Oryctolagus cuniculus: one gene and its partners. The protein of the gene in region 1 binds, or shares a complex with, the protein of each later gene. Links are inferred from orthologs where the notes say so. Each region holds a gene or a part of one and is shown in the gene's direction. Other genes may lie near its edges. The genes, in order: CACNA2D1, CACNA1E and CACNA1C.

Evidence for each region.
Region 2: the proteins of CACNA2D1 (region 1) and CACNA1E are in contact, whole or in part, in a cryo-EM structure (PDB 8EPM), measured with the Homo sapiens proteins. The link is inferred for Oryctolagus cuniculus from reciprocal best matches to the Homo sapiens genes CACNA2D1 and CACNA1E. Residues at the interface, in NP_001353796.1 of Homo sapiens: Thr170, Asp171, Tyr173, Ile233, Leu235, Ser261, Gly262, Ser263, Ser265, Gly266, Leu267, Lys270, Ala327, Lys328, Gly329, Ile330, Thr331, Glu366, Gln391, Asn393, Tyr394, Ile416, Gly417; in NP_001192222.1 of Homo sapiens: Gln110, Leu112, Pro113, Glu114, Asp115, Asp116, Lys117, Pro119, Arg122, Asn630, Phe631, Asn632, Asp633, Gly634, Ile1330, Gly1331, Asn1332, Val1334, His1336, Met1341, Val1343, Arg1346, Arg1393, Ser1394.
Region 3: the proteins of CACNA2D1 (region 1) and CACNA1C are in contact, whole or in part, in a cryo-EM structure (PDB 8WEA), measured with the Homo sapiens proteins. The link is inferred for Oryctolagus cuniculus from reciprocal best matches to the Homo sapiens genes CACNA2D1 and CACNA1C. Residues at the interface, in NP_001353796.1 of Homo sapiens: Thr170, Asp171, Tyr173, Ile233, Leu235, Gly262, Ser263, Ser265, Lys270, Thr274, Ala327, Lys328, Gly329, Ile330, Glu366, Gln391, His392, Tyr394, Ile416, Gly417; in NP_955630.3 of Homo sapiens: Phe147, Pro148, Glu149, Asp150, Asp151, Ser152, Asn153, Ala154, Asn678, Lys1090, Gly1091, Asn1092, Tyr1093, Ile1094, Tyr1096, Gly1099, Val1101, Pro1104, Ile1106, Arg1109, Tyr1156.

The regions. Positions count from the first base shown.
Region 1 is NC_091434.1:146,804,788-146,808,420, reverse strand, and holds part of CACNA2D1 (voltage-dependent calcium channel subunit alpha-2/delta-1), read left to right. Parts: intron 1-260; coding exon 261-323; intron 324-1,000; coding exon 1,001-1,104; intron 1,105-2,351; coding exon 2,352-2,438; intron 2,439-3,615; coding exon 3,616-3,633. UniProt on the Homo sapiens protein: The alpha-2/delta subunit of voltage-dependent calcium channels regulates calcium current density and activation/inactivation kinetics of the calcium channel. Plays an important role in excitation-contraction coupling.
Region 2 is NC_091444.1:369,131-373,195, forward strand, and holds the start of CACNA1E (voltage-dependent R-type calcium channel subunit alpha-1E), read left to right. Parts: upstream 1-1,184; 5' UTR 1,185-1,781; coding exon of another isoform or gene 1,782-1,782; coding exon 1,783-2,048; intron 2,049-4,065. UniProt on the Homo sapiens protein: Voltage-sensitive calcium channels (VSCC) mediate the entry of calcium ions into excitable cells.
Region 3 is NC_091440.1:100,409,681-100,413,313, forward strand, and holds part of CACNA1C (voltage-dependent L-type calcium channel subunit alpha-1C), read left to right. Parts: intron 1-735; coding exon 736-850; intron 851-1,562; coding exon 1,563-1,683; intron 1,684-1,959; coding exon 1,960-2,029; intron 2,030-3,633. UniProt on the Homo sapiens protein: Pore-forming, alpha-1C subunit of the voltage-gated calcium channel that gives rise to L-type calcium currents. Mediates influx of calcium ions into the cytoplasm, and thereby triggers calcium release from the sarcoplasm.

The DNA.
Region 1 (3,633 bases):
TGGTTAAGTCCCATTCTGTCTTCAAAATGTAGCTTCATCTTCATTTCCTGAGGAGCCTTCCTTAAGCAGCCTCCTATTAAGGACTTACTTCATAGATACTGCAGTTATTAAGGCATAGTTTTGCATCAGTTGGTGTGTTTACTTTGGCTTCCCTTATTTCAGGAACTTGTTTTATTTCTTTTAGTTTCAGCAATACCTAAGTTAATATCTTAGGATAAATTCAATTTGGAAAAAAAAAATCTTCTTTTCATGTGTTCCAGCAAGGGAGTGAAAGCACGGTTTGTTGTGACTGATGGTGGGATTACCAGAGTTTATCCCAAAGAGTAAGTTCAAATAACACCTGTAAAAGTAAGTGCATTAGAAAAACCGTACCAAGATCTGTGCATTCCTGTATTAAGAAACCGTTCTCCAGAGAAATTGATCATCATTTGTAGATTGCACTGGTGTCATTGTTGTCAAGAATTTGCAGTATTAAAATACTCCATTCTGAAAAATGGAATCTTAGGATTTTTTCAATGATATAGGTATTTTTATATATATATATTTATTTATTAAAATGTTTACAAGATGTTTAAAGAGAATTTTCTCTTGGTAGACATAAGCTCAAACTAATTAAATTAACATAATGATTTAGACTATTAGCAGGATTTGTATAGCATGCCATTGTTTCCAGTGTTCCTTGATGTATCTTTCTCTGTAATGGTCGGAAGTGGACCAAGGAAGCACCAAGACTTACTAATACTAATTAGTCTTGTTCATAATTACCTGGATAGTACCTGGATAGTAAACAGCTGAGTAAGACTAGGAGCCAGTTTTTCTGTTTCTTGATACTGTTCTGATGTATTGCTTAGTAGTATCAGTTCCACTGTCAGCTAGCACTAACTTCCTTAGATACACCTGAGATGTAGACGTTATCTGTAGAGCTCAATGTGTCCACCAAGGGAAAAGTAGGTTATCAGGTAGATTAAAGAATATGAATGATGAGCCATTTCCTCCTTAGGGCTGGAGAAAATTGGCAGGAAAACCCAGAGACATATGAAGACAGCTTCTATAAAAGGAGCCTCGATAATGATAACTACGTTTTCACTGCTCCCTACTTTAACAGTAAGTATTGCTTTGGAATTCAGCTTCCTCAATTACTTTTTCAAAAATAAATTATTGCTGCTACCTGCTTTCTCCCACATCAATATATTTTATGTTAACTGACCAAAATGACTATTCAAAAGCCTGCATTATATGCAAGCTATTAGAAAAATAGAAAAGAAGCATCCATTTAGTTGAAGAGATAAAATTCTTACACAGCATGTAATTATGCAGTTGCGCAAAGGTAGCATTTCTAACAGGCATGCATAGGAAATAGAAACACATGTAGAGCATCCTTCATGGCACAGCTGAAAAATATATTGGAAGAATGCTTAATGAACTAAATAAAATAGAGTAACTGATTAATTATATTTTATCAGTATTAATTACATACTGTAATATTTATAAAATACTGAAAATATTCTGTTGAGTTATTTCCAAAACATCTTTCTAATTTAACTCCTTAACATCTCTGGGAATAGGCCTTACTTACCCCCATTTTCACAAAAGGGACAACTGCACTGGGGCTGTGCTGTGGCATAGTAGGTTAATCCTCTGCCGGTGGTGCAGGCAACCCATATGGGCACTGATTCGAGTCCCGGATGCTCCACTTCCAATCCAATTCTCTGCTATGCCCTGGGAAAGCAGTGGAGGATGGACAAGTGCTTGCCCCTGCACCTGCGTGGGAGACCCAGAAGCTCCTGGCTTTGGATCAGTGCAGCTCTGGCCATTGTGGCCATTTGGGGAGTGAACCAGCGGATGGAAGACCTCTGTCTCTCCCTTTCACTGTCTGTAACTCTGCCTCTCAAATAAAATAAAAAGGGGTGGGGGCAACTGCAGTTCAGAGAATTTCAGAGCTGTGTCCAGGAACATCTACATTATAAAAAGTAACACCAGTTTTAGGCACCCAAGACCAGTCTTTCCTGTTTACTTTTTTCCTCTTTACTTCTGCAACTGCCCCAGCATTTTGGCAGATGGTAGAAAGCCAAGATTTGATGTGTGTGCATTATGTTGCAGATTTAGATTAAACCAAACTAGGTAATTCCTGTCTCCAAATCAATAAATACACAACAATTCATGGACATTCCAAGTAGCTTGGTTGGTATATAAAGAAAGAAGAGAGGAAGAAGGAACCATGCATCTCTTTATGTGTTGTATAATCTATAATTTTTAAGTAAAACACTATCCATCTGTATCTATTGATATAAATTTAATATTGTTATCCACTGTATCTTCTAGATAAGTCTGTTTTCTTTCTTTTCTTTTAGAAAGTGGACCTGGGGCCTATGAGTCAGGCATTATGGTAAGCAAAGCTGTAGAAATATATATCCAAGGAAAACTTCTTAAACCTGCAGGTAAGCATACACACACTATACACATAAACACAATCAAAATTAAATGTGACCTGACATCTACACTATAATCTCCCATCATGTGAATGCCTCAAACAAAATAATGTCAGACATGCAAACTGAAAAAATATGTAATTTTGCTATCTATCAAATTGGGGATAAAATTAAATTGATACTATAAAGTGCTGAAGAATTTAAGAAGTGTTTTTATATATAATCAACAAAAATTTATGGAATCCATTTAACATAATATATTAGGATTTTAAATGCACAACTTAAAACATTGGGTTGATCTAGGAATTCCACTAGAGAAGTCTCTCCTAATACTTTCAAATAAATAATAAAGCAACATGGCCAAGGACATAAATATTTGTAATAATTTAAAGATAGAAAGTTAAACTTCCATCACTGGGGGAGAACATAAATTATGGCATAGGTACTCTATAGAGTCCTATCAGAGAAGATTAGGAAGGGATCTGTTAAAAACTTGCAAATTATAGAAAAATGACTTTTTGGTAAAAATTAAATAAGCAAGTGAAAATACATAATAAAATTAAACATTAGAAGTGGAAGTCAGCTGAGGTGGGTGAATACAATAAAGTAAAAACTTGGTTTTTTTTTTTTTCATTATATGATTTAATTTTACTGGAAATTTAGAAAAAAAGCATAATATTATGGAGGCCAGATGGATGAGTGGTGACCATCCTACTTCAGAGGGCAGTTTTATCCCATCAGTGGTTCTAGTATTTGGTTCACCCCATCACTCACAACTCACACCTGTTCCTTCCTTCCCTCAGTTGCTCGTTTACCAGTTATTCTCTCAGCCTGTTACACGTGCGAGGGGATTAGGGAAGCTTCTTAAAATACACCGCTTGAATGAAGTAATATTTATGAGGCTATCTTTGATATTATTATTATCACTATTATTATCACTATTATTATTTTAGCTTACTGTATTAGATAATTGGCCAGTGTGTGGCCAATAAATAAATTGTTTTGTGAATATAAATGATTGATGATGTAATAGTTCAAGAACAATTAGCATCGTTCCTTAATGAAGAGCTCCCCCCAAAAATCTACAATAACTATTCACTCCAACATTTTTTGCTTTTGTATAAATTTTCTAATATGTCATATAGCAAAGATTGTATTACATCCATTTCTATCTTTAATTTTTCAGTTGTTGGAATTAAAATTG
Region 2 (4,065 bases), on another chromosome or scaffold:
CCCTGGGGCTGACACACTGAAGGGGACCAGGCCTGAGGCCGGCCGGCCCCCATGTGCCAGGACCGTGCCTGTGAGTTTCCAGCATGCAGAAACTTCACACTCATACGTGTTCTGACACAGCCCACACCAGCAGGGCTCACGTGGCCCTGCCCACGCAGGCACAGGTGGGAACACTTCCCTCCTCACCAGTCAGCAGCTGCACAGGTTCCTCCCTTAGCCCCTCCCTCCCTGCTCTTCCAGGGTTCAGGTGGGCAGGACTGGACAGGACTGTGTGGAGGACCAGGCAGGACAAGGCACAGGGAGGTGTGTGGACGTGGGAGGGGAAAGCTGCGGGTCCCCCGACCACCTTGGGGGCTTGGCCGCCCAACGCAGGCTGTTCCTCTGCAGCTCTGGGTCTGCCTTTCCCACCCTGTGGCCCAGCACTAGTTCTGCTTTTCTCCTCACCGATAGTGTGGGCTTCAGAAAGTGAGCTTATTTGGGAGAAGGGGGCCGGATGCTCCCTCTGTTAGGGGGCCCAGAACTTGCCATCAAGGCCCCGCAATATGCGGCCCTCCCAACCCACCCAAAAGCCGCCCAGAAGGTCCCATAGGAGAGCAAGTGCAGAAGCTGACGGATCTGGCACCCACCTCTCCCTCGGGACCTTCAAGACGCTAAGTTGGAAGACGGGGTGAGCGCACTGCCCCCGTGGAAGTCCCCGCTCGTGTTCCTGGAGCCTGGGAGGAGTGGACGAACCCCGGGCGCGGCGCTCGCGCCCCGACTCCGCCAGGTCGCCGTGCTAGGACGGGCGTCAGAAACCCCGCTCTGCAGCCACGAGCCGAGAGCGCGCGCGTGTGCGCCCCCGCGGCCCGCTCCGCTGCGGAGACTGCGCCGCGCCGCCGGCTGCGCCCGCCCAGCGGCTCAGTTCTTCTCAGCCAAGGCGACCCCTCCTTGGGCCTCTGCAGAGGCGGCCGCTACCCCGGCCGCACCAGTCACTGGGCAGCCGCCTCCGCGCGCAGGAGCCGCCTCCGCCGCGCGCGCCGTGCGCCCCTGCGCTGAGCTCGCCTTCGCTCGCTCGCTCGCCCGCCCGCCCGCCGCCCCTGCGCCCGCGCCAGAGGCGCCGCCGGCGGAGAGGAAGGCTGAGGAGGGGAGCCAAGTCGCCGGCCCGGGCCGCACCTGTTCCTCCGGGCGCCGAGGTCCCGGCCCTGCTGCCCCGCGCGAGGGACGGGCGGGGCTGCCCGGCTTCACTGCCTCTGGACGTGGCTCAACTTCTTTCTCAGGCGCAGGAGCCGGGAAGGCGGTCGTCCCTCTCCGGTGGGATCGACCCCTTATTTGGATATTTGGGCGTTGCGGTTCACGCAGGAAGCTCGGCGGCGTGCTCCCCTCCCAGCCTCGCCAACCTTCGCATGCGCCGGCGCCGGCAGCCGCAGGCACCGGGCCTCGGCCGTGGAATTTCTCAGATGGACTCGCCCTAGCCGCGGCCTCGGCTTTTTCTTTCCTCTTCCAAGTTCTTTTGTTTTCGCCCCTCCCCCACCGCACGTCGCCTTCTCTCGGACCCAGGCGCCGCGCCCGCCCCAGCTGAGCGGGTGCTGAGTGCAGCCCGCCCCGCGCTCCCAGCTTCGGCCAGAGCTCCATCGCCATCCGCGCGCCGCTCGCTGCGCCCTGCTCCCCAGCCCGGAGCGGCGCCCAGCGTTCGACGGCGGGCGGCGGGGCCGCAGGAGCCACGGCTGAGGCGCCGCGCGCGCCTGCTGCCTCTGCCTGCGCCGGCCGCCGTCACCTGTGTATCTCTTCTGTTTGAACTTCAGGATGGCTCGCTTCGGGGAGGCGGCGGCCGGCAGGCCTGCCTCAGGCGAGGGAGATTCGGACCAGGGCAGGAACCTGCCAGGAACGCCCGTGCCGGCCTCGGGGTCCGCGGCCGCCTACAAGCAGTCGAAGGCGCAGAGGGCGCGCACCATGGCCCTGTACAACCCCATTCCCGTCCGGCAGAACTGCTTCACGGTGAACAGATCCCTGTTCATCTTTGGAGAAGACAACATTGTCAGGAAGTACGCCAAGAAGCTCATCGACTGGCCATATCCTTTCTTCCCCCAGCCCCTGTCTCCCCGGCCTTCCTCCTGGGGAGGGGCGTCTGCCGCGGGATGCCTTGCCCACGTACCTCTGGGCTCCAGCTGGTGCCTCTGCTGGAGTTACGGCTCAGGGGCAAGCCTGGGCACTTGCGTTCCTGAAGGTAAGACTTTGGCTTTCTGCTTTTTCCTGTGTGGAGACCCCTAGTGTCCCTGGGGTGCCTGGTGCTGTGTTTCTGCCCTTTTGTGGGCTTGGTTCCCACCCACCCCCCCCCCCACACAAACCAAGCCCCTCTCCAGGCTGCCTTCCTCAAAGCTTGAACCCTCTCTCATCTCAAGGCTTTCTTTGATAATCGGCGTGCCTTTTCCTGTCTCAAGTCAGCCCCTCTGTCCCATCCCCTCCAGCTGGGGAGTGACCTGTGCTGTCGGCCTTTGGGGAAGTTGAGGCTCCAGAGGGTTGGATCTGTTCAGAAGCCCCCAGAGCTTGGCCTGCAGCCCTGTGCATGCGCTGGCAGCTGGGGCCCAGTGGGCTCCGGGACCAAGTTCCAGCTGTGCTGAAAGCGGCGGGTGCTGTGGGAAAGGCTGTGCCGCAGGCTTCGGGTGCTAGCCGCTCCGGGTGGGGCTCATCTGTGTTCTAGGCCCCCTCTGCATGGCCTTGAGCTGGGTCCTCCTGCCCTTAGGAGCCTGGCTGCTGTCCCCACTCCCAGGGGCCTGCGCTTGTCAGCGGAGGGAGAGGGGTGCCAGCCACCTGTCTCCAGCTGCAGAGGAGTTGCTCTCCACCAGGAGCTGGTAGGGGCGTCTGAGGGAGGGGGTGGCGGGGTGAGGGGGCCTGCAGGGGTCTTCTCTGTGGGCTTGGTCAAGTGCACCCGGTACAGGTGCTTCCCCGCCTTGTTCTTCACTAAGAATCTGGGTGCCTGGCACAGCCCTTGGGGCTTGGGGGTGGGGTGGGAGGCGATTGGGTGGAGTGGTGTTAAGGACAGTGGCTCAGGGCCAAGGCCTGGGATGCTTGTGGAGGGAGGTTTCTTGGGAACAAGCCCCTACCAGGAGGCCCCTCCTCGTACCCCACCCCACCCCCAAACCCCGATCCTCCCGAGGTGCAGCAGAGAGACGGCTAGAACTGCACGGGTCTCTGGTGTCAGCCAGGCACGTGGCTTGCTTCCCCCAGGGCCTGGGCACCTCCCTCCTCCCCCGCCCTGCTCTGGCCTTCTCTGCTTCCCTCCTCCCTGGCTCCCTGCTCCAGCCGCATGGTGATTGGCTGGTGCGTGGTGCTTCCAGGGAGCATCTCTACGCAGATCTTCCTGCTGCGGTTTGCACCCTCCCACCGGCACCCCTGGCTGCGCTTCTCCTCCTCTCCTGCTTCCTGTGCCGCCCCCTCCCCCAGAGTGATCCCAGGCCCTGCAGTGCCTGAGTCTTCTGTAGGTTGGGGGCCAGGGTGGGGGAGAGATCCGGTCCCTGCAGCCGTGCCTGCTGTGCCCACAAAGGGCAGAAGTGCCCCTCCTGGTGCCGCTGTGGCCCGCAGATCCCTCCCCCAGGAGGTCTCTGCCGCTGGCCCAGCCGCCCGCCCGCCCCTTCCGCATTTCTGCTCTAAACCCTCTCCCCCGCCCCTGTTCATTCAGTCAGGCACTCCTTCTCCCCTGCAGATAGAGCCACTGGGTGGCCGGGGTGCAGCGGCTATCAGCACCTCGGACAGCGCCATCGACCTGCCGTGTGGGCACCTCCACAGGCAGGCTGGGGTTCCCGGCGGGGGAGGGGGGGGGGGCAAGTCGCTGTGTTCCCTGCTGCCCAGGGCTGCCTCTTTCTGTGTTTCTCTGTCTTGCTGCAAATGCTGCCTCTCCCCAGGTGCAACTGGTGCCCAGCTGTGCGTCTTACAGAGGGAGTCCAAGGAGAGGCACAGGAGGGGTTGACTTCAGCTTCAGGCTTGGGGCCTTGGCTGCAAGCCCCGTCCCCCTGGTCTCGTCAGGCCCTGTGGCTGGGCTTGACACAGGTTCTGCAGCGTGGAGCCTTGTACCTGTGCCGTGTTGGGTTT
Region 3 (3,633 bases), on another chromosome or scaffold:
TTGTGGGATGATGCAGACAAGGCCCCTGGGGTCTGCACTTCCTGGGACGAGCCTGTTACCTGCTTGGGTTTCAGTTTCCCTATACGAGAAATGATGGGGATGGCTGGCACCTGGGGGTAGAGGTCAACAACATGAACTTGAAGACCCTGTCCAGCTGTACTTTCTCTGAACCTGTGTTTCTATTGTTGGGGGTGAGGGAGGGAGGCAGGGTGGGAAGAAGTGGGCAAATAACTGCTTTGATTTGGAATTCCCAAGCTCTGGCCAGCTCCAGGCAGACCCTCCAAGGGTCTTTGTATGTGTGGGTTCACATAGAGGCTTGGTAGAGATGCCAGGCTACCTACTCAGTGCCAGTTATAATAACCACTTTTAAGAGCATTCTGTCTTCTATTAGAGACAATACTGTTGACAGTATCAATCACAGCAGTTCTCTCGGGGGACACCCAACAATAAAACCCCGCAATTAAAGAGCAAGGCAGGGCTTGCTACCTCACTCCCACCCCGCTCCAACCTGCAAGCTTGCCTGGTCTCAACCTTGTAGGATACTCCAGGTGGCTAATAGGGTTATGGAGAAGGAAAGGGAGAGGGTCACTGTTGGGCTTTGTCAAAGTGGGTCAGTGTCAGGCTGTCTTTGCTGGGGAACTCTACCCCTGTGTCTCCTGCTTCTTCCTTGTCCCCTATGCCCACCAAATACCCCCAAGGCCAAGCATCATTTTCTTTAAGAATGGACACAAACAGATATCCTACTGAATGTGTTCTTGGCCATTGCTGTGGACAACCTGGCTGATGCTGAGAGCCTTACTTCTGCCCAAAAGGAAGAGGAAGAAGAGAAGGAGAGAAAGAAGCTGGCCAGGTAACCCTCTACACTCACCCAGGCCAAGGCCCCAGAATCCCAGTTCTGGAATACGTTCCCACTGGAGGGTCAGGGAGGCTTGGTGCTGGCCCCCGATCCCTTCACTCCTAGGAGGGCCCTGGGCCTGAGGCTTCCTGCAGTAACTTGGGCCTCTCTCCAATTCCTGGGTGGTGCTCTAAAGAAGGACCGTTGTGGATTGCAGTCCCCACCAAGGTGTTGCATTTCCCCCACCAGAGAAGCCATCAGAGGTGGTGGGAATGTAGGGTGGGGAAGGAGGAAGGCAGCCCCCTCGGAGGGGAAACAGAATCACAGCTTTCAGAGCGCTGCCTCCTCGGTGTTTTCTACTTCATTTCCAGTGATAAGAAAGCAGGAGTGGGCCCTGCATTGAGTGTCCCGTCAGTGTCTAGGTGGGACAGTCATAGGCCACGCATCCACCTGGCACCGAGTAGTGTTCCTCCAGGAACCAATCCTAAATGAGAGCCAGAATCATTCTTGGATGAATGAACTGGAGCAGCGGCTGGAAGGGGCCCATTGAGTGCCAGGCAGAGCCAGGTGCAGCCCAGCTCAGTGGCACTTGTGATTAAGTTGCACACGCAATGTGCCCTGGATGTCCATGCAAGGACTGTGCTCCCGCTAGCCCAGTAGACCCCAGAACAGCTCCTTGCCACCCCAGTAAACATCCATTTCTCTTTTCCTCCTGCTGACCGGCCAGGACTGCCAGCCCGGAGAAGAAACAAGAGGTGGTAGGGAAGCCGGCCCTGGAGGAGGCCAAGGAGGAGAAAATTGAGCTGAAATCCATTACAGCTGATGGAGAGTCCCCGCCTACCACCAAGGTGAGTCGCCATCTCCTTCCAGGAGCTGTGGCCACTGCTGAGGGAATGGGGGCCACGGTCTTCCTAAGAAGACAGAGGGAGGCCACTCGGTGGGAATAGAGCCGATGCACTTGGCTGACTCCAGGCCTCTGCTGGTGTCTGAAGAGGATGTCTCAGGTGACAAAGGCGGGTTTTTGAGCTCAGCCACTGATTGTTGTGCAATTTCAAGGCTACTCTGAGCCTCTAAAACTGTGGAACTTATCTAACTTCTTCTTCTTCCCCTCCTTGGCTGCCTAGATCAACATGGATGACCTCCAGCCCAATGAGAGTGAGGATAAGAGTCCCTACCCCAACCCGGAAACCACAGGTACCGGTCCCACTGCCTGACCTTGAGATGGGAGGTTGAGGGTAGATATGCAAATTCTAAAGCCATGTGCGGACAGCCATGAGTTTGGGGCCAGTGGCTCCAGGTTCTCCTTGCCAGCATGTGGCACTGTTAAATGTCTCCTGTCTCTATACTTATGTATTGCCATGATTATCTGAGGGAAAACTTGGTTTATGGTTTCCACATAGTACCAACACTAGGTTAGATAAGATTACAGTTGAGCAAGGCTTTTGTGCTCTTTGGAAGCTGGCTTCTATATACCTGCAAGGTTTCCTTATATTCTATGTTGGTCAAATCATCGTTTCCTTGCCTGATGTGTTAGTATAGCACCTTTTGCTGTGTTCTGCTCTCTTTGTAATTGTGGCAAATCTCACGTCTGCCCTTGCTCTTACTCAGCTGGGTGCAGGGATGGCTGCCACCACCGGCGTCCCCCCTGCTGATTTGTAAAGTTCTTTCAGGTCTCTTCTTGTCCAGAGAGCTCTTACTGACCCCATCTTCTCATGATACGTGACTGGGCAGGGAGTCCCCTTTCAGGGGGTGTTAATGTCAGAGGTCAGAGGTCCTCCCCCAGGCTTTACTAGCTTTGCTTCCTGCAGCCTCACATCCTGTCCAAACCCCAGACTTGCCCTCCTCTTACCTAGAATTGCAGATACTATCATCGGCTTCAAGCTTGAAGTCAACAGCTCGGGGTCAAGGCATTTCCTTCTCTGTGTGGACCAGGCTGTGTCTGGAGGGAAAGCCAGTTAGGTGGCAGAAAGCCTTCTCGCTGTACCTGTTCTCTGCTTACGTGCAGGGACACCAGCAGGCCTCTTCTGTTGTCCTTGGGAAGTAGGCTCCTCCTGTGGGCTTCCACCCTCACCCGTTTCCACTCCCACAAGGGCACAGGTTGGGTGCCCTGGGGCTTGGACAGAGAGAAGAGCAGGAGGGCTGCTTCCACGTTGGGACCCTTTGAAGTCCTAAAATCCTTTGCAGGGCAGGCTGAGGGGGCCAATCTTGCAGACTTGGTAGACACACGGGGAGGACCTCGTCTCGGCCCTGAATCAACAAATGAACCAAAGTGCCATTCTGTAAATAATTGGGCTAAATTGAATATGGACTGGGAAATAAATGACTGGAGATGGTTTTTGTTAATCTTGTTGACATACTATTATTCTAGCTCTGTTTTGAAAATGCCAAGCTGTCTAAAATGTTGAGAAGTTACTTTTTGAATGTTCCAACAGCAAAATAGGGGAAGCGAAGAAGATAAATGAAACAAGATCAGCACAATGTCAGTGATTGTTAAGGCAGGGTTTGTGGAGGTTTCCTATAGGAGTCTGAACTCAAGCATCTTTTTGAAGTTTAAGGAGATGGACAGTGGTGACATGAATCCCAGGTTGGCCCCGCTCTCTCCAGCACGCAGCTTCCTGGCACACAGCAGAGGGGACATCTGGATCTGAAGGTCTCCCCACAGCCCCCACCCTGCTGCAGTCAGGCCTCAGCCTGTCCCTCCCACGTGGCTGTGGGGCAGACCAACATCTTGCATCTATGACAATAATCTCAAATTCTATTATTCTAAACATCCTCCTGGCTTTTCTCCTCTTTGTGGC